2 linked regions of the Nothobranchius furzeri genome follow. The protein of the gene in region 1 purifies or fractionates together with the protein of each later gene. This does not show direct contact. Links are inferred from orthologs where the notes say so. Each region holds a gene or a part of one and is shown on either strand. Other genes may lie near its edges. The genes, in order: sorbs3 and dlg5a.

What was found.
Region 2: the proteins of sorbs3 (region 1) and dlg5a purify together in Homo sapiens (co-immunoprecipitation; 3 studies listed by BioGRID and IntAct, with this or other methods). This does not show direct contact. The link is inferred for Nothobranchius furzeri from reciprocal best matches to the Homo sapiens genes SORBS3 and DLG5.

The regions. Positions count from the first base shown.
Region 1 is NC_091757.1:39,858,331-39,868,311, forward strand, and holds part of sorbs3 (vinexin), read left to right. Parts: coding exon 1-10; intron 11-89; coding exon 90-180; intron 181-1,737; coding exon 1,738-1,846; intron 1,847-3,960; coding exon 3,961-4,014; intron 4,015-4,155; coding exon 4,156-4,263; intron 4,264-4,887; coding exon 4,888-4,937; intron 4,938-5,169; coding exon 5,170-5,229; intron 5,230-5,959; coding exon 5,960-6,030; intron 6,031-6,447; coding exon 6,448-6,509; intron 6,510-6,606; coding exon 6,607-6,653; intron 6,654-7,318; coding exon 7,319-7,433; intron 7,434-7,518; coding exon 7,519-7,644; intron 7,645-9,511; coding exon 9,512-9,981. UniProt on the Homo sapiens protein: Vinexin alpha isoform promotes up-regulation of actin stress fiber formation. Vinexin beta isoform plays a role in cell spreading and enhances the activation of JNK/SAPK in response to EGF stimulation by using its third SH3 domain.
Region 2 is NC_091752.1:34,938,129-34,948,575, reverse strand, and holds the start of dlg5a (disks large homolog 5a), read right to left. Parts: upstream 6,186-10,447; 5' UTR 5,969-6,185; coding exon 5,668-5,968; intron 1-5,667. UniProt on the Homo sapiens protein: Acts as a regulator of the Hippo signaling pathway.

The sequences.
Region 1 (9,981 bases):
TCAGGAGAACGTGGGTGATTCCGCCACATTCGGCCCCATTCCGCCTTGGTTAGTCTGATCATAGTTAACGTTTAATCTGGTATGACCAGCAGGGCTCCCGTCATCTGCTGACAAAGTAGAAAGTAATGAAGCCGACAAGAATCTCTTCAGACTGACACCTTATGGGTCTCTGCCAGATTGGTGAGTGTACGCAGAGTTCATCTAACACATTCAGTTTCATTTTCTGAGAAAAAAAAGATTTAGGCAGATTAACATCACAGATAAATAATAGCCTCTTAGATAAAACAAAAACCTCAGCGATAAGAGTAAAATGAAAACGATGTAGTAAACCTGGTATTTGTCAGAATTACTTGTTATGATATTTTATTCACCTTACCAACAAGTTTACTAGATTTCAGTTAAACGTCTGAAACAGACGAAGCTGCAGCAGGTTGTACTCTGCATCTTGTTGGAAGTCTCGTTCCCATGGTAACAAGCAAAAGGAGGACAAGTTGGCTGAAGAAGGAGGATAAAAAAAATTACCAAGTTGTTGACGACAGACATAGTCAGGATTTTTAAGGCTCAGCCAACGTTTGGTCTCTGTCAGTAAACACAATATTTCTAAATGCATTATGGATGTTTTTTAGTTCCCTGATGATCCATAAAGTCTGCAAATGTTCAGACTTCGGACTGATATGTGCTCAACTGTTATGATAGCTACCGTTGCTAATTAGCACACAACTAAGCTAGCCTGTCCCTGCTAGAATCATACTTTTTGAGGAAGCATTAAACAAAGATTTCAAAACTTTAAGTAATTTTTTACTACATTTTTTATCATTTAAAACAATTCTGAACCAAACAGAAGTTGCGTTTAGCTACTTTGCTGCACACAGATTCAGCTTCCCTTTACCTCAAATCCCCAAACCAGAAACCTTTAAATCAAAGTGAAAACATTCAAGCATTCATCAGCCTTTGAGTTATTGTTTCTTATGTTGCACCGTCTGTGACTGTAACTGCTCAGTGTTTAACTTAGCCTTTTTAAAATGTAATTCTGTTTGTGTATTATAAAGTGGATTTTAAAATTTACTGTTGTATGTTGTCACTGTCTGTGTATGAAATGTGCTGTTTAAATTAAGCTGCCTCACGTAATTTAACTGCACACGCATAAAAAAGAAAAATAAAATTTTAGTAGTGAACTGTTAGTGGTGCTGGCATGTTTTTCTTTTATTTTTTATTAAGAAGTAAAATTAAATGAAAAGAAGTCATTATTTACCAGGATATAGCTTGACTTGTAGAAATACCAGCAGCACTTTACAATAAATGTCCCTTCATTAACATTACTTAGTGAGTGAGTTAAGTATTAATAAAGAAAGGACACCTATATTAATGCTACCGTTATTGTTAACTATTGCGTTTCCTTTAAGTTAACGCAAAGGGACGGGGATGGTCTGCTTAATAATGCATAATAATATGTTTAAGCAGTTGTTAAAACTTTTTAAAATAGTTTATTAATGCTTAATAATGCACAAAGTAACATTAATGAAGCAACCCTTTTTGTAAAGTGTTACCAAAAAAACCAACCAAAACTTTGCCCATGTGCAGCGGAGAGTAAACGTGTAGGACGGACAAGTTTGGATCTGTTGTTACAGCACTCACAATGAAGCCGAAACTAAGTTGTGTGTGTGTGTGTGTGTGTGTGTGTGTGTGTGTGTGTGTGTGTGTGTGTGTGTGTGTGTGTGTTGGGGTGTTACCTTTCAGGAGCGAGGATGTAGATAAGCTGTCAGACCCCGGAAAGCAACAACCTCAGCCGAGGAGCATTTTCGACTTTGAGCCCGGAAAGAGCCCCACCTCAGAAACTCACAGCCAGGTACGACCTCACACGCAGTCACACGGTTTAAAAATAGACTCTAAGTCCAAAATAAAGTTCTTTTAATCTTTAAATTTCCTCAGCATTGTTGTTGGGACTTATAGGTGCAATTCTCAGTATGGTTTGTTGTCTCAGTCGGTCACGTCTTCTAGGATTATCGTCTGAGCCCTTGTTTTTCATCTTCTCGTGCAACTTATGCAGTACCTGGTAAAGACAGACAATGTTCACCAGAGGGTTCTAAACTCCAGGTGAGCTCATCCCTGTTAGTCATCTCAACAATGATGCATTCAGATTTGCAGAGAAAAAGGGACTAATCTATTGTGGTTTGTACAGAATCAGTTTTTGATGATTTCTCCCATGGTTTTGGCTTTCTGCTGTGATTTATTAGTTATTTTAGTGTTTGTGGGTTTTAATACACCCTGTGAGTTTTCGGGTTGTTTGGGAACACTGCTCCAGATCTGTGGTGCATACTGTGTCTCATCTGAAGAAGAAAATAAATCTTTGTTTCCACTCCCCCATGGGAGCTGATGTGTCTTGTGATTTGTATTATGGTGTTAACCTCTTGTGGTGTTTAATGGCTCACAGCACGGGGACTTCTTTCATTTAGTCTTTGTGGAATTGGCTGAAGCCGTATCCCCTGCATTTAGAAAAGCAGCTCACAGACCATATCAGGTGTTGTGCTGCTTCTCTGTGACATCGCTGTTTGTGCTTGCAGACGGGACGATGAAGGTTTCTGGCATTCAGAGAGACACGTTCAGCCAAGGTTCTACTAAAAAATGAAGCAGTCGTCTGCGGTTCTCACCAACAGGGCCTTTTAAAGTAATGTTCGATCGAATCAGCGGCGAGTGGTGTCAAATATGTGCAGAGAGGGAGTGAACGAGTTATTTCAGCGCTTGTTAAACAGAAAAAAATGTGCTGGTTTATACCTCAGCAGTGTTGAGTCCAAAATGTGCTTTGGCAGGCTATAGATGTTGTACTTTGACCTCTGCATTTTGGAAACTCTTATTCTGAAAGATTATTTAACCCTCTGCAGGCAGGCGTTGCAGATTTGCAACGTTAAAACCTACCTACCTGGCTACTCCACATACATGAGCATTTTTAAACTCAGAAGTACTCCTGAAGGACTTAGTTGTTCGTCCTTTTATCAAGACTTTTTTTGAGCCTGAGAGGGTAAAAAACAGCTTTTGTATGGAAACTGATTTAATTCATGTGTTTTATACCAAACACTCAGAAAATTTTAAGTTTTCACTTAAAACAAAGTCTGTTTGTGGAGTAATTTCATAACTTTTGCTCAACTTGGTAAAATTTCTGTGCCAAAAAGTTTCACGCCTAAACACCGACCTGTTGTGACACCAGAAGAAAATATACGGGGAAACACTCAGATCAGAAAAAGTCATTCAGATCTACGTCAAATAGCTGTCATGGACCCAGCCACCTGGGCTCACAACTGGGAAAGGCTGTTGTTGATTTTCACATCCAGGAGAGAGCAGAGCTCACCTCAGCTAGTGAAGCTAATTGTTAGCATTAGCAACTCCTTCATGTTTGAGTTATTTATGGAGATAAAACATCAGCGTTACAGCGCAAACTGAGTCAATGGTAGAGTTGTGTTGCTGTTAGCCAATTAGAGGCCAGATTTCCACATAGCATGAATGATAATGAGTGAAATTCCAAATCGCGTCGGTTTTCAGCCCCCCTTCCCTCCAGCTAACCTTTTACTTCCTAAAACAGGAGCGCAAGAGCTTTTTTCCACAGAGATCGACTAAGGCATGCACTCATAAACCACCTAATAGTTCCGGAGCATGGCCATGTCTGCAGCTCACCGCTCCCCACGGGGATGGGTCAAATGTGGAGGATAATTTTCACCACACCACACCAGTGTGTGTGACATGTGTATGGGACTTTAATTTAATCTTTAATAATACTAAAAACCAATGCAGATTTTTGAAAAACAAAAAAACAAAAACAAAACAAAAAAAAAACACATTATGTCCCGCTTTAAGGCCACAATCAGTTTATTTCTCTTGTTATCTTCTTTTTCCATTTGGTGCAACAACATCACTAATGTTTAGCTCTAAATCTGCTTCAACTGTGTTCTCTTTTTTCTCTTCTTTTAGACTTTTTTATCCCCAAAGACACAACCCGAGAAACCCAAGTCCCCTTCCATTGAGGTAAGCATCCACAACACAATTTCACGTAGAATTATTTTGTTGACTTTATGAATATTAAAAGTAAACGAGGGCCACTTAAGCTCCAGAACCCCTGCTCTAGCTGTGTTTTATTTATTCCAACTCTTTAATTGCGGGAGTCAGGCCAGTCTGGCGTCTGAGCTGAGTCGATTCGAGGCTGAGCTGGACTCGGAGATTCAGGGCCTGGAGAGGACTCTTTCCCAGAAGAAGCAGCGTCAAGGCCGGGGTGAGGTACTGAGCCTCCCTACCGACTCTTTCTGCCAAATCACCCCCTCTATCTCACCAATCTAGCAGAATTCCCACCCACTCCCGTTCCCTACCCTCCCAGTGAAAGCTACGTGTCAATGAGATCCCTTTGCTTGCTAGCTGAGAACGTGAACATTCTTCTCTTTGACTGCCTGAGAATGGCCTGCCTGCCCTGCACTCAGATTGATCTTCTCTCTTAATCGCCCTCCTGACAGTTCCCCACAGCAAATCTAGACCTGGCTGCCAAAAGAGCAAAAGATAAAAACATAGTTTCCTTTAGATCATATACAACCATAGTGCTGCCTGCTCCTCCTCTTCCCTGCTCCACGGGAACTTTCCAACAGCTCTGATGTCATGTTTGATGTTTCTGTGACAGAACCAGCCTCCTAGGGTTAGCATGAAATCACAGACAGCTCAGACAGATCATGAGCCGTGTTGCTGCAAGCTCGAGGAGGATAGGACCCTGGGGATTTCTTTGCTCACTTGGGAGTGGTCAGCAGCACCTCTACTTTGTCTGAGTTGTTGTGAGATTTCCTCTGAAGTATGAGATGCAGAAGGCTGAGTGGTGCTGCAGAGAGCAACGTCCTAAAGGGTTCCCTCTGCTTACAGGAGGCCAGAAACAGGGATCCAGATCCCACTCCAAAGACTCCCAACCACAGGTTAGTTGATCTACACCGTACCATTTCAATGAAGCTATAAAGATCAAGTTATCAGCTTTTCATCACCTTTTAGTCCAATTTTTCTATAATTTATGAGTATTTTAGTTTTAGAGTGAGATAAATACTTGTGTTCTACGCTTCTCTCTTGTGCGTTTGTCTAAAACTGTTTTATGGGAGGTTTACACCATTGTGACAAGCTGATCCTGTTAATGTGATTCATTCTTTTCACTAGAATACAAACAAACGTGCATGAAGCAAGGCTGCAACTGAAACTGCAATCAACTATAGAGAAGTAGATGCTCGATAATCCATAAAGTTTGCATCATTTAAGCATAAAGAAGCTGAAAAATCAGGGTTAAGCCGCCCCCACCCTCCCCAGTCCACTTTCATGTTGCATCGTTGTTTAGTTGAAATCACAGCAGACCTCCTGCTGATTCAGGAATCCAAGTGTTATAGTTGTGTGTTAGATTAATATGTGACTTAGTGTTGGGCAGCTGTCAGGTAAACAAATTAAGTTTCCACTAACTCATTTCTCACCTTGTGTGTAATGCATTCCTGAAGAGTTCATGCTGCTGTTTGCTAAACTGAGCAATTGTTTCCAATCCTGAGGGGATTTCACTAAGAATGTGTAAATTTAAAGCATGTAGCAGCTACGATTCTTCTGTCCGCCTGCCAAACACTGAAAAACAAAAGGAAAGCTGGAATCTGTGGGTTAGGAGATAAAGCTCAACACAGAAACACACCTGTTCCTGGTCATGAATAGAGCTTCATGAAGCTCATTGAAACAAGATTTCCAGTGAAAAAGGATAAAATCTTGTCTGATAATTTGTTTCTTCTCCATTCAAAAATATCAAAACCAGCTGCAAACAGTTGATGTACACTGTAAAGCTGAGGGAAAGTGCCGGATGCATCTATTCCCTGCTGTATTCAGCCTTTTTTTGCTCTTAGAAAGTCCTCCACTGGACCAGAAAACTAATAAAACCTCAAAAGTTAATTTATGTCTATCTTTTTCACATTTTCAGGAATTTGCCAGCATCAAAGCAGCCTGACCTGCATTCTGGTGGCCCATTAATAACATCTGCTCCTGCACATGGTAAGAAAACAACCTCTTTATCTGTTTGGATGTTTTTCTCTGTGTAACTGTCTCCCTTCAGCGACCATCCCACTGATCTAATACGTTTGATAAAAGCATCGAGTAATCTAATATTGTATGACGGTCTCATGGTTTGGCTTTGTTGCTGGTGGTGTCTTCTGCTCTGGTGTTGCCCTCATTAGACCGTTTTCCCTTCTCTATGGAAACAGCTGTAGATGGGTGGGGAGGAAGCTCACAAAAATAGGAAGTGAAACTCGGAAGAACTGATTGAAGATTAACTTCATCCCGTTTCTTTCCCTGGAAATGTAGCATCCCTAGAGCTTTTGAACTTGTTCTGGCTGTAATGGCAACACGCTTAAGAACAAAACGCAGAACAAAAGAGTTCAGTGTTTAGAGCCTTCTTGTTGTGCTCCACAGTAGAACGTCTTCCATCTGCAAATGAAAACATGGAGTTCCCATCAAAGAAAGAAGAGAAAAAGGTACGTCTGAACTAATTCTAGTCACTGGAAAAGCTGCAAAATGTAAAATGAACGTTTTCTGATAGTTGCAGTATGAATGTAAATCTTCCTATTTTAGATGAAAGCTGCAAGAGCCAAGTTTAATTTCCAGGCTCAGTCTCCCAAGTGAGTAGTTCTTCATCAGATTCTTTCAACGTGATAATTTTATAATGATGTGGTAAACCTTAAAGGTACAATAAGTAAGACTCTTACTGTGCAATAATCACTAAACAGTCTAATGTGTCGATCATGTTGGAAGGAAGGTTACATTAAAACAGATTTAATTCTCAGCTTTGTCAGTTTTCCTCCTTTCAAAAAAGCTAAAGAGGGACATAGTCTTTGTTTACAATCGCTGAGCCTGCAGGGTTACAGAGTCTGTGCAGCTGCTCTATGGAAACAATGTTACCCAGTAGCAGGAGCGACCCAGAAGTTGCTTCTTGTGCCCCCAAGAAGCCGCAGCGTCTATTTGGTTTACTCTAATATTGGGTACAGTAGGGTAGTGGCTAATGCTGAGCTAACAATTCTAATGGCTTATAAACTTACAGTGTATGACTCGTCTTCGCTCGTCATCTAGAATCTTCTGGCGTTGAGCCGTAACTGGCAACAGCCATGAAACTCACGATCAGGAGGGAGGAGAGTCACACATTTGTTTTGAAACATGGACTGCAGTACCCACATCTGTCCACAGGATGCCATTCTTACTTCATGTACCTTTAAATCTTACTCCGATGATATTTTAAAAGAAAATCTCAAATCAGGAACTTAGATTGCACGCTTTCTCCTACACTCAGGGAGCTCACACTGCAGAAAGGCGACATTGTTTACATCCACAGGCAGGTCGATGCCAATTGGTTTGAAGGGGAGCACCATGGTAGAGCTGGGATCTTCCCCACTTCTTATGTAGAGGTGAATTATGTCATTTAACGCCAGATCTTATTGAAGTACTTTGTGTTATAAAGGCTACTGAGTTATGGTTTATGTGTATTTTTAGGTTCTGCCTCCGACAGAGAAGCCAACACCCTTAAGGTCTCCCACTCTTCAGGTGCTGGAGTACGGCGAAGCTGTAGCTCTGTACAACTTCAACGCTGACCTACCTGTTGAACTTTCTTTCCGTAAAGTGAGTCGTTCTCTTGTCCGGTCCACACATTGAGCCAAAATGGTGAAGTAGAATAGCTTTTCTGACACCTAGAAGAGTTTAAGAACATTTTCACATTTTTCTTATGTGATCTAATGTTTCTAGTAAGATGTTAACATACATGTTGTGTGCTGTAAGTATGGAGCAGCGTAGATCTAGCCATCTGGACAAAAAGCAAACAGCTGTCTTGGCGTTGTACTGTTCTGTTTGTTAAATCCATCCAACCAGAGGGATCAAAACAACGTGTTGTGCTGATTTTCTCTTGGCAGAAACATGGGAACAGTTTGGAGAGGAGCTAATTGGATGCTGAGAGGAGCGTCCTATTTTGGCACACAGATGACACATTAACATATTCTTTAGAAAAATGTGATTACATTTACCAAGAGCATAAGGTCTTAAATAAGCTGTTTTTTAAACTCCAGGACTTACATCAGAGAAATTCTAATTATAAATCTGAGTATGATTTAAAAGAGATCAACTTTTCCTATTTTTAAATCATTTTATTGAGCCAGTTTGTGCTAGATTGACCTGTAAAAGGATTAAATAAATGTCACTCAGACCCCACCACCACCTGTGGCCAGAATACCGGACTTGCAACTTATCTGGACCACTCCCTGTATGGTCCTACTTTAGTCTTAGTAATGTGGAGCTGGCGTACCTGGCGCTGCAGTCTGCTTCCAGCATGGTTACTGCTTGTTTTAGATCATGAACACAGCTTCTTTGTTTGATTTAGTGATGAGTCGCTCCTGCAGACACTAATGGAGGCTGCAGAGTCATTTCAGCAGTTAGATTAAGGTGTTAAAAATGCAGAGCAAAGAAAAGAGTTTCACTTTCGGTTTTACAACTGTGGATTGATAATGGACTCTAGGGAGTGCTAACAGCAAGCCAAAACTGCATGGTTTCCCTCAAACTCAAAGATAAAGATGTTCTAACTTCACTTGGCCAAAGTTAACAGCTCTCAGGTTTGTAGACATCTACCTGATTTTAATGTGAGACTCCATTATGCAAAACATTATTATGGAAGCTGCTCCAGCCACACGATGGCCTGATTACTACCAGACCTGAAAATTTAAGAAATCACATTAGCACAACCATCTGACAACAGGATGTTGGTTAAATATATATATATATATATATATATATATATATATATATATATATATATATATATATATATATATATATATACACATATAAACACACACATTGTGCTGCTTTCTGAAGAAAGACAAGACAGAAAAACAGAACAACATTAAAATTGCCGCAGACCTCATTTTGTTCTGGTTAGAGCAGAGTTTATAGAATAGAATAGAATAGAATAGAATAAAATAGCCTTTATTGTTGTTGTACAGCAAAATTGGAGTGCCACTTCCTTTGGTACAAAATGTAAAAGAAAACAAGAAAATAACACAGAAATAACATGAATGTAAAATCAACAGTAGTGTTTACAAATACACACACAGAGTAGCAGCATTTATGATGTAGCAGCAGTTCATGATTGAAGAATAAGACAAGAGGCTAAAATGTCCTCATGGAAGAGCCTCAAGTCTAAAGCTCTGATGACCCAAAGAAACATAAGGGCCTGTTTCACATTTGCCAAACACATCTTGATGATTCTGAAGACTTTTAGGAAAGTGTTTAATAGGCTGACAAGACACAAGTGGAACTTTTTGAGTGTGTGTGACCCGTTACATCCCGTGTAAAAGGTTTTATTTGACACGCATTTTTGCTTTATTTTAGTTTTGCTTGGAATCTAATCAGGCTGATGTAGCTGTGGCGTTTTTGCACCCCAGAGCCACCATACATATGTCTGATCTAACCTTTGACCCTTGCATTACCTCTCCTTCAGGGTGAGGTGATCGACATAACAAGATGCGTCGACGATAAGTGGTTGGAAGGCAGGATCTCGGGAACGAGCCGGAGCGGCATCTTCCCAGCCAATTACGTCCAGGTCAACAAGATGCCCCGCACCAAATACTCCACAGATGACTGCCCATCAAGCCCCATGTCTCCCACGTCCCCTGGACCGCAGAGTCCAGGGCGTCCTCTCCACTCCCCATTCACCCCCACTTCCCTGAGCCCCAAACCTGAGCACTCCCCCATCAAACTGTCCTCACCTGTTTCATGTGGCAGCCCAGCCTCACAATCACGCTCCCCCACCCAGACACCCTACCGTTTTCCCCACAGCACCAACCAGAACAACCACATGGCTCCACCTCACTGCCCCAGCCAGATCTCCACAGTTAGAACGGCTTCTCTTTCCTCTCAGTCGTCGGCGCTCAGATCTGGAGCTCCCACGGCGAACAGATGCACAGATCC
Region 2 (10,447 bases), on another chromosome or scaffold:
CTAGTGATGCACCGATATGAAATTTATGGGCTGATACCGATATGAATATCACTGTTATGGCCTATACCGATATACGGACATTAATGCCTCTGAAATCAGCAGATTTTGTATAGACTGAAAATTATTAAAGCTGAATTTACGTTATTGTGTACACACCTCACTCATTTACGCTTCTGAGATGTTAACAATCACTGTCACATGACTAAAAATACCACACTCATCACCCCCTTTATCCTCTGAAACAGATAAACAAAGGGAAACAAGATGAAAAAAATATCAGTTGTTAATATCGGTCCAATTTTATTTATCGGACCGATACAGATATCTTAAAAAAAATGACTTAACATCGGCCGATACCGATTTTGACGCAGATATATTGTGCATCCCTACTGACAACTAATGAAAATCCCAAAGTCAGTATCTCAAAATATTACAATATCAATTAGTTTCTTTCCGGAGTATTTCTCTTATCTGATTGCACCATCTAGTGGCTGACAAGCATATCACACAAATAGTCTTGATCCGTTTTTTTAAGATGGCGACTTCACATTTCTTTGTGCTTCTGTAGCCGGCTTAAACACGTTTTGCAAGTATTATTCTTATGTCGTGTTACGTTTTTATACATTTATATTTTAAACATTGTGAAAAGTTCATCAACTCTGCATCAGCTGAGGTACTTCCATAAATGTGAAGAATGTAAGCAGTAGTCTAACGCTATTGGTTAGTTCTGGTAGACACTCAGTTTCCTATTGCACAGAGCTCTGCGGGGCAGGGGCGTGCTTAGCAAAAAAAAAAAAAAAAAGACGTATTGCTTACATTATATCACAGTACATGATAAGACAATCACTTCTACGGATTTCTGAAAAATCACACATAATTTCTGAAAGGGGAAAACTCCGGAAAGCTACTTTAAGACCAATGCAAAAAAATACATTTTTAAAATGTTGGCCAACTGAGAAGTATAAACATGAAAAGCATGAGCATGTACCGCACTCAATATTTAGTTGGGGCTCCTTTGGCCTGGATTACTGCAGCAATGTGGCATGGCATGGCCTTCAGCTCTTCTGAATTGTTAGTCTGGTGTATTACAGCTTCCTCTTCACAAAACCCCACATATTTTCTATGGGGTTATGGTCAGGCAAGTTTGCTGGCCAATCAAGAACAGGGATAGTGAAGAACATGGTCCTTAAACCAGCTTTGGCACTGTGTGCAAGTGCCAAGTCCTGTTGGAAACCATCCTCGACTGTGGAAACTTTACACTGGACCTCAAGCAACATGGATTCTGTGCCTATCCTCTCTTCTTCCAGACTCTGGGGCCTTGATTTCCAAAGGAAATACAAAATTTACTTTCAGAGAACATAACTTTGGACCACTCAGCAGCAGTCCAGTCTTTTTTGTTTTTAGCCCAGGTGAGACGCTACTGACACTGTATCTTGTTCAAGAGTGACTCGACCCAAGGAATGCAACAGCTCAAACCCATGTCTTGCATACATCTGTGCACAGTGGTTCTTGGAAGAACCTATTCCAGCTGCAGTCCACTCTGTGAATCTCCCCCACATTTTTATGGGGTTTTGTTTCATAATCCTTTCCAGGGTACGGTTATCCCTATTGTTGTACACTTTTTTCAACCACATCTTATCCTTCCTTTTGCCTCGATTAATGAGCTTGGACACAGAGCTCTGTGAACAGCCTGCCTCTTTAGTAATGACCTTTTGTGTCTTGCCCTCCTTGTGCAAGGTGTCATTGGTTGTATTTTGGACACCTGTCAAGTCAGCATTCTTCCCCATGATTGTGTAGCCTACAGAACTAGGGTGAGACCATTTAAAGGCTTTTGCAGGTGTTTTGAGTTAATTAGCTGATAAGAGTGTAGCACCAGTGTTCTTCAATATTGAATCTTTTCACAACATTCTAATTTTCTGAGATACTGAATTTGGGTTTTCATTAGTTGTCAGTCATAATCATCAAAATAAAAAGAAATAAACATGTCTGTGTGTAATGAATTCAATATGTATTCAAGTTTCACTTTTGAATGGAATTAATGCAATGAATCGTCATGATATTCTAATTTTTTGACCAGCACTTGTATATTCTGGCATTTTCTCTACTCTGAAGAGTAATTAGAGCGTGGTGAGGAAGTGGAATATGTGTAAAATGGTCCTGTTCCACATTCACTCATTCACTGCCAATCATGACTAAAGTCGTCATTTGCATTTTTTTTTTTTTTACTGTGTGGGCATCGGAACAAGCTCCCGCACCATGAGAATAAACATCTCAGCTCTAAAGCTGATCTTAATCCGCATACGTCACACGTCTCGTGATCAGGAAGCAAAAAATCCGGAAGCAGAAAATCCATGTGTTAGGAGATCGTTTTGGGCCGCTGCTGTAAAAAAGGTGAGGCGCGAACCGGAAAAGCTTCTGCTGATCACAATTTAACAACTGATTGTGAAAGAACGGATAACGCTCAAAATGCGCAAATTCTTTCTGATGTAAGAGGTGAGTCTCCGCTTTGATTTGGTTGTTTTGGCATCTACATCATCCTAACGCGCAACGTTTTGTGACTCTTAAATATGTACCCAGTAAAAACGGTGAGGAACGCTGGCAGCGAAGGGCTTTACTGATCAGGAAACGGCTGGCAGCGAATGAGTTAATGCCTCCTGGTTGTGGTTCTCAAATCAACAATCTGATTTCATCACAAGTGAAAAAGAGAACACTTGCAACAATAGGCAGTGGTGACATCTTTCTACTGGAACTATGGAGATAATGATCCGAGGAAACCATAAGGTCAACCTTTCGTTACTGCTCCTCTAAATATGATGAACTGATGGCTCCCTCTGCACATTGGCAAAGCAGCACTGAGATCCAAAGAGTGGTGAACCGAAAGAAATTGAGATGACAAGGTAAGAGACAGCGTGCGTCACTGAATGACAGAAACTGACGCAGACAGTGAGTGACGAAGAAAGTGAAGCCAGGTCCATCTCTTGGGAGATATTTAAGAGCTGTGTTTGTGACAAAGAGCTCCAGGGTCATAACTCATCCCGTCTGCCCACCATGGTTTATGGAATAGGACAGAAACTCTGTGACAGAGGGTACAGCACCCCCCCTCCAGTAACACAAAAACACTGGCCCATGTCCTAGGCTGCTGTACACAGAGCAAGCTGCTGACTCTGCACTTTGGGCCTGCTCAACTTCTCAACAAAAGCCCCGTTGTCTGCCTCACTCTTCCTCCCTCTTTCTATCACCCTCCGCTGTCTCTCTGGTGAGTCCCTTTATTTAAGGGTGTAGAGAAATAAAAACACTCAGTGGGAGAAAATACATAAAGTGGGTTGTAGTAAAGTAAATGGTGATTCAGAGGACAGGACAACAAACCACAGGATCAAAGATCCGACAACACAAACACAGAGTAAACAGAAAAACGGTGCTTTTGATGATGCACAGTGTGTGAGGTAAAGAGTGGAGGGTTGCAGGTATAGCTTTACTATTCCGTTTTTGAGGTAAATGCGGCTCAAGCAGTGCAGGAACATGAGCACACAGGCCAAGACATAAAAACAGCTTCATTACGGCTGCTTAGATTAACAACCCTTCCACCTGAAAACTTAACACACTAGCTTCTGCTGAAACTTCAGCAGCACTCAACAATCTGAGCAAATCACTACAGTGCAATTTTATCCAAGTGAGATACGTTCTTCCAAAAGGATGAGCCATCATTTGAAGGAGCACAGATTCACGAAATAATGAGGATACATTTGCACAACCTCTACAGAAAACATGCTGCAGGTTGAAAGAAAAACACAAATAATTCACACAGCCTACGCATCAAACATCGAGTATTAATGCGGGCATCTGCTTGTTTTTTTCCTTTGGTGGGACAATGTTGTCTTCGGGTGATTGCATATGCGCGCATCTTCGGAGGCTCAGCTGGCATAGGAAGCACATCAGAGAACAAGAGCAGACAGGCAGCATGAGCAGAGGACAAGCTGAGAGCAGGTTGCTATCAGCAAGACTCATCACACTCAGATTCCCTCTCTTCACACACCCAGTGTTGTTCACAAACACTCAGAGGCTCTGAAGATTTCATCCCCATGAGCCTTTTCCACGCGCTTCTGTACTAGAAGGAAGATGGTGAGAGGCTTTTCGTTGGTTTCTTTCCAACAAGATTGGGTTAGATCTTCATAATCAGGACACCAGAATGCCTCCCAAATTAAAAAATAAAATAAAAATCAGCTATATGAAAACTGTAATGATTTACTTAAAAAATGAATGCCACAAGCACAGTGGCTGATACACATGACTGGATGCATTAAAAAGCATCTCAGAGAGAAAGTGTGCACCAGATTGAGGGGAGCAGGGCCTAATCCTCTGTTGAATAACCACTGACTGACAAGCCAGGCTTAGTACTTGTGCACGGTATTTCCAAACACAAGACATGTCAACTTTGAGGCCCAGTGCTACAGAATAAAAAGGTGTGTGTATGTGTGTGTGGAGAAAAGCTCAAACCCACACTGCCAAGTGTAATTCTGCAGCACCAACACTCAATACAAGGAAGTAATAAAGCTTAAGGAAGCATTAATGATCCTGTCAGCAGAGCAGAGCAGCAAGAAACCAGCTCAGCACTACCTGCAAGGGTCTACTTAGACCAAGACACACAGGAACAGTAAACAAGCCTTTCAAAATAAATCTACAGCTATGCTGGGATCTCAAACATCACCTGAAACTTTGAGTTTATTTCTGAAACGCTGTCTGCCAAAGAGGAGTCATTCTCTGCATCTTCTCCCTACTTCTGGATCCCAGGGCTCATCCTGCATTCAAACCCTCAGGGCATGACGCTGGTTGTAAGAAAGCCACTGACTGGCTTTAGTCATTGAGACAAAACAAAACAGGCAAAACTAGACATGGTTTTTACACTTGGCTGGCCTTTGTCTCTGGGAAACAGCAACCAAAACCACTGAAGTGAAGGCAGTTGCTGGGAGGGAAAAGGGCACAAATCAAATGAGTACAATGAATCGAATTAAAAAATGTGGCATTAATGCACCGCCGCCGACATATCGGGCTAAACGGCTTAAGATAAGATTTCCTCTTCACTTGATATGAAAGATGCTTTAAGCATGCACGGGTAGGCTGCTTGAACACCCATGTACAGGTTGATATGAACCAACATGTCAGTAGTAAGACCGTTGTCATGGAAACAACTCAGGCTACCCATCTACTAACCCTGTGCAGCTGATGGCGGAAGAGGCTTTTACGGTGGATAACGGTAAATGTGAATACATTTAAAGAGTGCACATAAAAGGTTTGCATGAAGGAGTTTTTTGTGCAGCATGATGGGTGTGAGTGATGCAAATTTGTCCTTGGATGAAGTTAAAAGCAGAAAGTGAATTAAATGTGCAGGTCAAGGTAACTATTTCATTCAACTGCTATATTTTAATTTACACAACTCTGTGGATTCATGTATGTCATTGCAACACGTTGGAAAATTTACATGCAGCTGCATAAGACGCTTTGATCCTTGCATTACTTTATTGTATGCACGCGCACACACCCTCCTATTGCACCAGACCACCCAGATTTGACCACACTTGCAGGAGAACAGCTATGTTAGGACTGGACTACTCGTTTATTTGGGATTCTAGTAAAATCTCATTGGGGAATAGTTGACGTGTGAACTCTTACCGGTGGAGTGGTCCACTGGTCCCCCGTTGTTACCGAACAGGGCAGCGTACAGGTCAGGGTACGCCTTCTCCAGGGCCACACACAGGTCGAGGAAATGGTCGCTCTCCTTGTTCATCAGCATCTTCAAAAGGTGGTCGACTTTCTCGGCGCTAGATGAGCAGTTCTGCTCCAGCTCGAACTTGTCGAGTTGGCTTAAGGTACCAGAGACTACCAGCAACTCGATGACTCGGTCGGCATCTGTTATGGACTCCAATAAGTTCTGGTGGTACTGGTCTAGCAACTCTTTGTGCTTTGGCTCCATTGCTCTCCGCTGTAGTTCCGTAGCTTTCCCAGCTAACCCAGACGGCTCAAGTGGATGGAAGATCCCTACCGATCAAAAGTACCGAGCGATGATTGAAGTGAACTTACCGCGGCTTGCAGAAGTTCGCCAGAGCCACCACGGCATTAAGTTGCATGGGAGATCCTCTTTAATAGCATATTGAAAAAGGCACAAGAAGCCATATTTGTTGCCCAAGGCTGTTGACTGCACTAAACAGCGATGCATTTTCCCATCTTACTAACGTGTAGCAGTTCAGCTTGTTTTCTGCTTCCCCTCGGAGTACGCTGTCGCTGAGAACATTTCCTCTCCTCCTTGTATCATTTTATGCGCCCTTTGCCGAGTCAACTGCTGGAAAAACTCCCGTAACTCCGCCGCTGAGCCTCAGTTACACTGTACCCTCCGCCATGTCTGAGCAACTCAGCAGCTGCTGCCCGATGTCAATCAACGACTCGTTCAATGACCAAATATGGTCAAATAGGGCGGAGTCTGGCCGGAAACACGCCTCTTTCTTCAATGGGCGTACACACTGGGCCGTAGTACGTTGAAAATCCCAGGTGGGGAAAAAAAAACATGAGAATGAAGAAAATTTCCAATAAATTTCAAACTTTCGCCACATATGAAGCCGTTATGGTTAATGTACTGATCACGGTTATTACCGGAAATCAGATTAAAACTGTTGTAGTTAACTTCCACGATGTAGATGAAAATACAATTCATTTAATTTACTCATAAAACTAAAACTTACAAAAGCATATTCAACTATTTCTTAGTTATTAACAGAATAAGAAAAATAAACATATGCAAGAAAAAGAATACAAGGCTTTTGCATTTGCTCTCCTAAATACTTATTTATAACAACAAATTAAAATTAATACAACAGTTTTGCAATAATTGCTGGTTACTCAGAAGCACATTCATCTTGTTGTTTTAAGAGGCCGGGATCTTTATTCAGCCAGATGTAATTTTCTATTGTATTTAGTGAATTTGTCTGGTTTTTCCGTCATTCCTCTTTGACCGAAAGGATGCTTCTAAATGCAAATGCAATATTTGCAATGTACTGTATATTTAGATGTTTGATCAATTAAAGAATCACAAAGGAACTGCTCACACTTCTTAGGGAGACAGTTTTCAGTCATGTTTGAAGCCTTGAAAAAGAGCACATCCATTTTGGATGTGAATACAGTTCATTTTAGTGCAGAAATCACGTTTTTTTTAAGGCAGAATTTGCATGCACTACAACAATTGATAGAAATAAACATGTGTAATTGCATGTATCTGTATGTAAACACAACTAACTATATTAATCTTTATATTTACCATGAAAACATTTTATCATCAGAAGGCCAATGACTTGGTTCACTTACGTGTTTTGTTTAAGGAAAATGTCCATGAAATCATAAAGACATACTGCACAATAGCTGCATGCATCATTTTTAGTGAGTACTATATCCCCATGATAGATGAGAAATATGAGGGCGGTAGCTTCATAGTTAACGAACAATTAAATATGATGACAAATGAAATTTGCATTAAGAGAGGATATGTTGATGACGGCGGGTGCACCTTCTGCAGCTGAATAGATTGTTGGCACAGAGACAGGCGTCTGCAGCCATACCTCTCAAACCATGACCTTATTCATGCACTCACTGAATCTCACTGTGACATCTACTCTATCCCCTCCCTTCTGTCTCTCTGCCACGCTGGCTGCACGGCTTGTGCAACCATGTGCCATTCGTTCGGATGAAAAATTAATTACAATTCATTCATATCAAAGGGAAGCAGGTTTCTGCTGCTGACACGGATTGGACAGCAGCGTTTGTTCCCTTTTTTCTGAGGACATACATATGAATTAGGAGGACAGCCTAATGCTTTTTTTTATCTTGAGGGTATGAATGAATTTATTGTTTAGACAAGGATAGCGGTGTTTCTGGCTGTCTGATGATTCACTGGAAATTGTTAAACAAGATTTGTTTATAGGACAGCCTAGAACGGGGCAGATAATAGCCTTATCTTTTATTGAAGAGACTGTCAGCAAGGATATCCATCATTTATCCCGTCCCTTTCTCAGAGAGAAAATTTTATAGTTTTCTTTTCACTGTTTGTCTGAGAGGAGATTCAGCTGAATCTGTCCGAGCCAAGAACGGCACAACAATGATTTTAGGGTTTATAAAATCCACAACGTTACACATAAAGTTCATTATTTTATGTCAGAGCTTAATAAAAGAACTAAGCAAAAACAGCACATTTGTGGTTGTTCTGAGAAATGTTGTTTTCTGAAATGTTGTGTTGGTGACAGTGGCGGTTTTACCATTAGGCATAGGTCGGTGGCCGTCTGGGGCCCCCAACATAAGGGCGCCCCCTCACTCTGACAACCGGCACCCCTCTTTTAATCCCACAATGGACTATTCCTTAAAGACACCAATTCACAAACAGGAAGCGATTGTTAGTCATTCTACTCCAATCCAGTTGGTGGCAGTAATGCACCAAATTGTTATTTGCCAAGTGCCATAAGACCACAAATAAGAAGAAGAAGAAGAAAAAGCAGAAAAAGAAAAAGAGAGGCGGGAGCGTTCGTAACAAACTCGAAGCGGTAGTCAAAACATTAAGCATGAAATTGAGTTATCTTAGTGGCTCCAATAAGAGAAAGAAGCAGTTTGCTTTAAAAAAGATTTTATCTTCACTTCCAAAAGTGATGTTGTTTTTCTATGTAAACATCAAAAAGGAGCAGAAAGGAAAGACAATGGAAAATGTTTCAAGGGAGGAAAACATAGACCAAAATGGAAAATAGAAAAACAAATAACAAAGGCAAAAGCACAGGAGCACTGACAGGAAGAAGAAAGCAGAGCAAACATTGAAGACACTCAAAGGGAGAGAAAGACAGGAAAAGAGGACTAATAAAAAGTGAAAGTAACTCTTGTCAGAAGAGGGGAGAGTTTCGCAAATCCAGTTAAAGGTAAGATTGCCGAATATTTAGTGTAAGGGGCCCCATGTCTGTGTTCGCCTTGGGCCCCCAAATCGCTAAATCCACCACTGGTTGGTGATGAGTTTCCTTTGTGTTCCTCTGCCCCAGCACATGCTAAGATCATGTGAAAGAAGCCCCAGATGATTAGAAATGTTAAATCAGGCAACTCAATTTGCAGGTTTTAAATTAACTGTGAAATAGTGTTGAGCTGGACACCTTCGAACAGATCAGCGGTTTATAATCTTCACATCAAAATTGTGAATTTTGCAGAAACATGTCAAAGCATTGTGGTATTATCTTTAGGATCCAAACAATCTTCTCACATCTGACATAATTTACTCTAATCTCCATCCAAACTCTAAAGGTTAAAACCCTTGCATGTGTTTTCGAAGCCTAAAACTTTCTCTGTAATTTGTTAGCGTGACATGTTCCAAATGTATTCTTCCAGTGTGGCTTTGTGGACTTGTTTAATGTGGCCAAAGCAGCTTAACAGCTGTCATCAGTTCCACAGGCCTCCCTCCCCACCTCATCATTATTGAGTGTAGTGCAGTGAACCCACCCACAGAAACCTAACCAGCCAAGCACAGAGCCACATCTTTACTGTCGGGTGTTTTAAGGTGAAGTCAACAGGAAATAAGTGGCATAGAGTTCCCTGAGTAGCCACTCACTTGGAATTTTGCTGATAAAATGCAAATATTCAAGTGTTACCCACTGATCTGTTGCTTTGATTGAGATGCTTTCATCATCTAGGGTGAAATAGATGTTTTCATGTGTCAAATTAATAAAACTCAATCCAGATTTTTATAGGTTTGATGCATCATTAGCTCTGCTGGTTGGAAATAGACATTTTAGTATTAATATAGAGAATGAAAAGGAGCACACTACCCTCTACTGGTGCTAAATGATCAAAATTAAGTATTTATTGTGGACATTTTTTTATTTAAGTGTTTTTATGAAAACATTTCAATTCAATTAAATTCAAATTCAATTCAAAAATACTTTATTAATCCCAGAGGGAAACTGATTGCTGTAGTAGCTCTGAATAATAATAATAATTACGTTGTCAAAGAGTTGTTGTATATTACAATGGCTGTTGGCAGGAAGGATCTCCAGCAGCGGTCAGTGTTGAGGCGAAACTGAAGAAGCCTCTGACTGAAGACACTGTTCGGTTGTCGGACAGTCTTGTGAAGAGAATGCTCAGGGTTGTCCATCATTTTCTTGATTCTCTGGAGAATCCTTCTTTGCATTATCTCCTCCAGTGGTTCCACAGGCATCCCCAGAACAGAACCAGCCTTTTTTATTAGGCTGTTGAGCCTTTTCAGGTCCCTGCTTCTGATGCTACTTCCCCAACAGACGATGGCTGAAGAGATTACACTCTCAACAACAGACTTGTAGAAGATCTGCAGCATCTTGCTACAGACATTGAAGGACCTAAGTGTCCTCAAGAAGTGCAGTCTGCTGTGTCCCTTCTTGTAAACGGCTTCGCTGTTCTTTCTCCA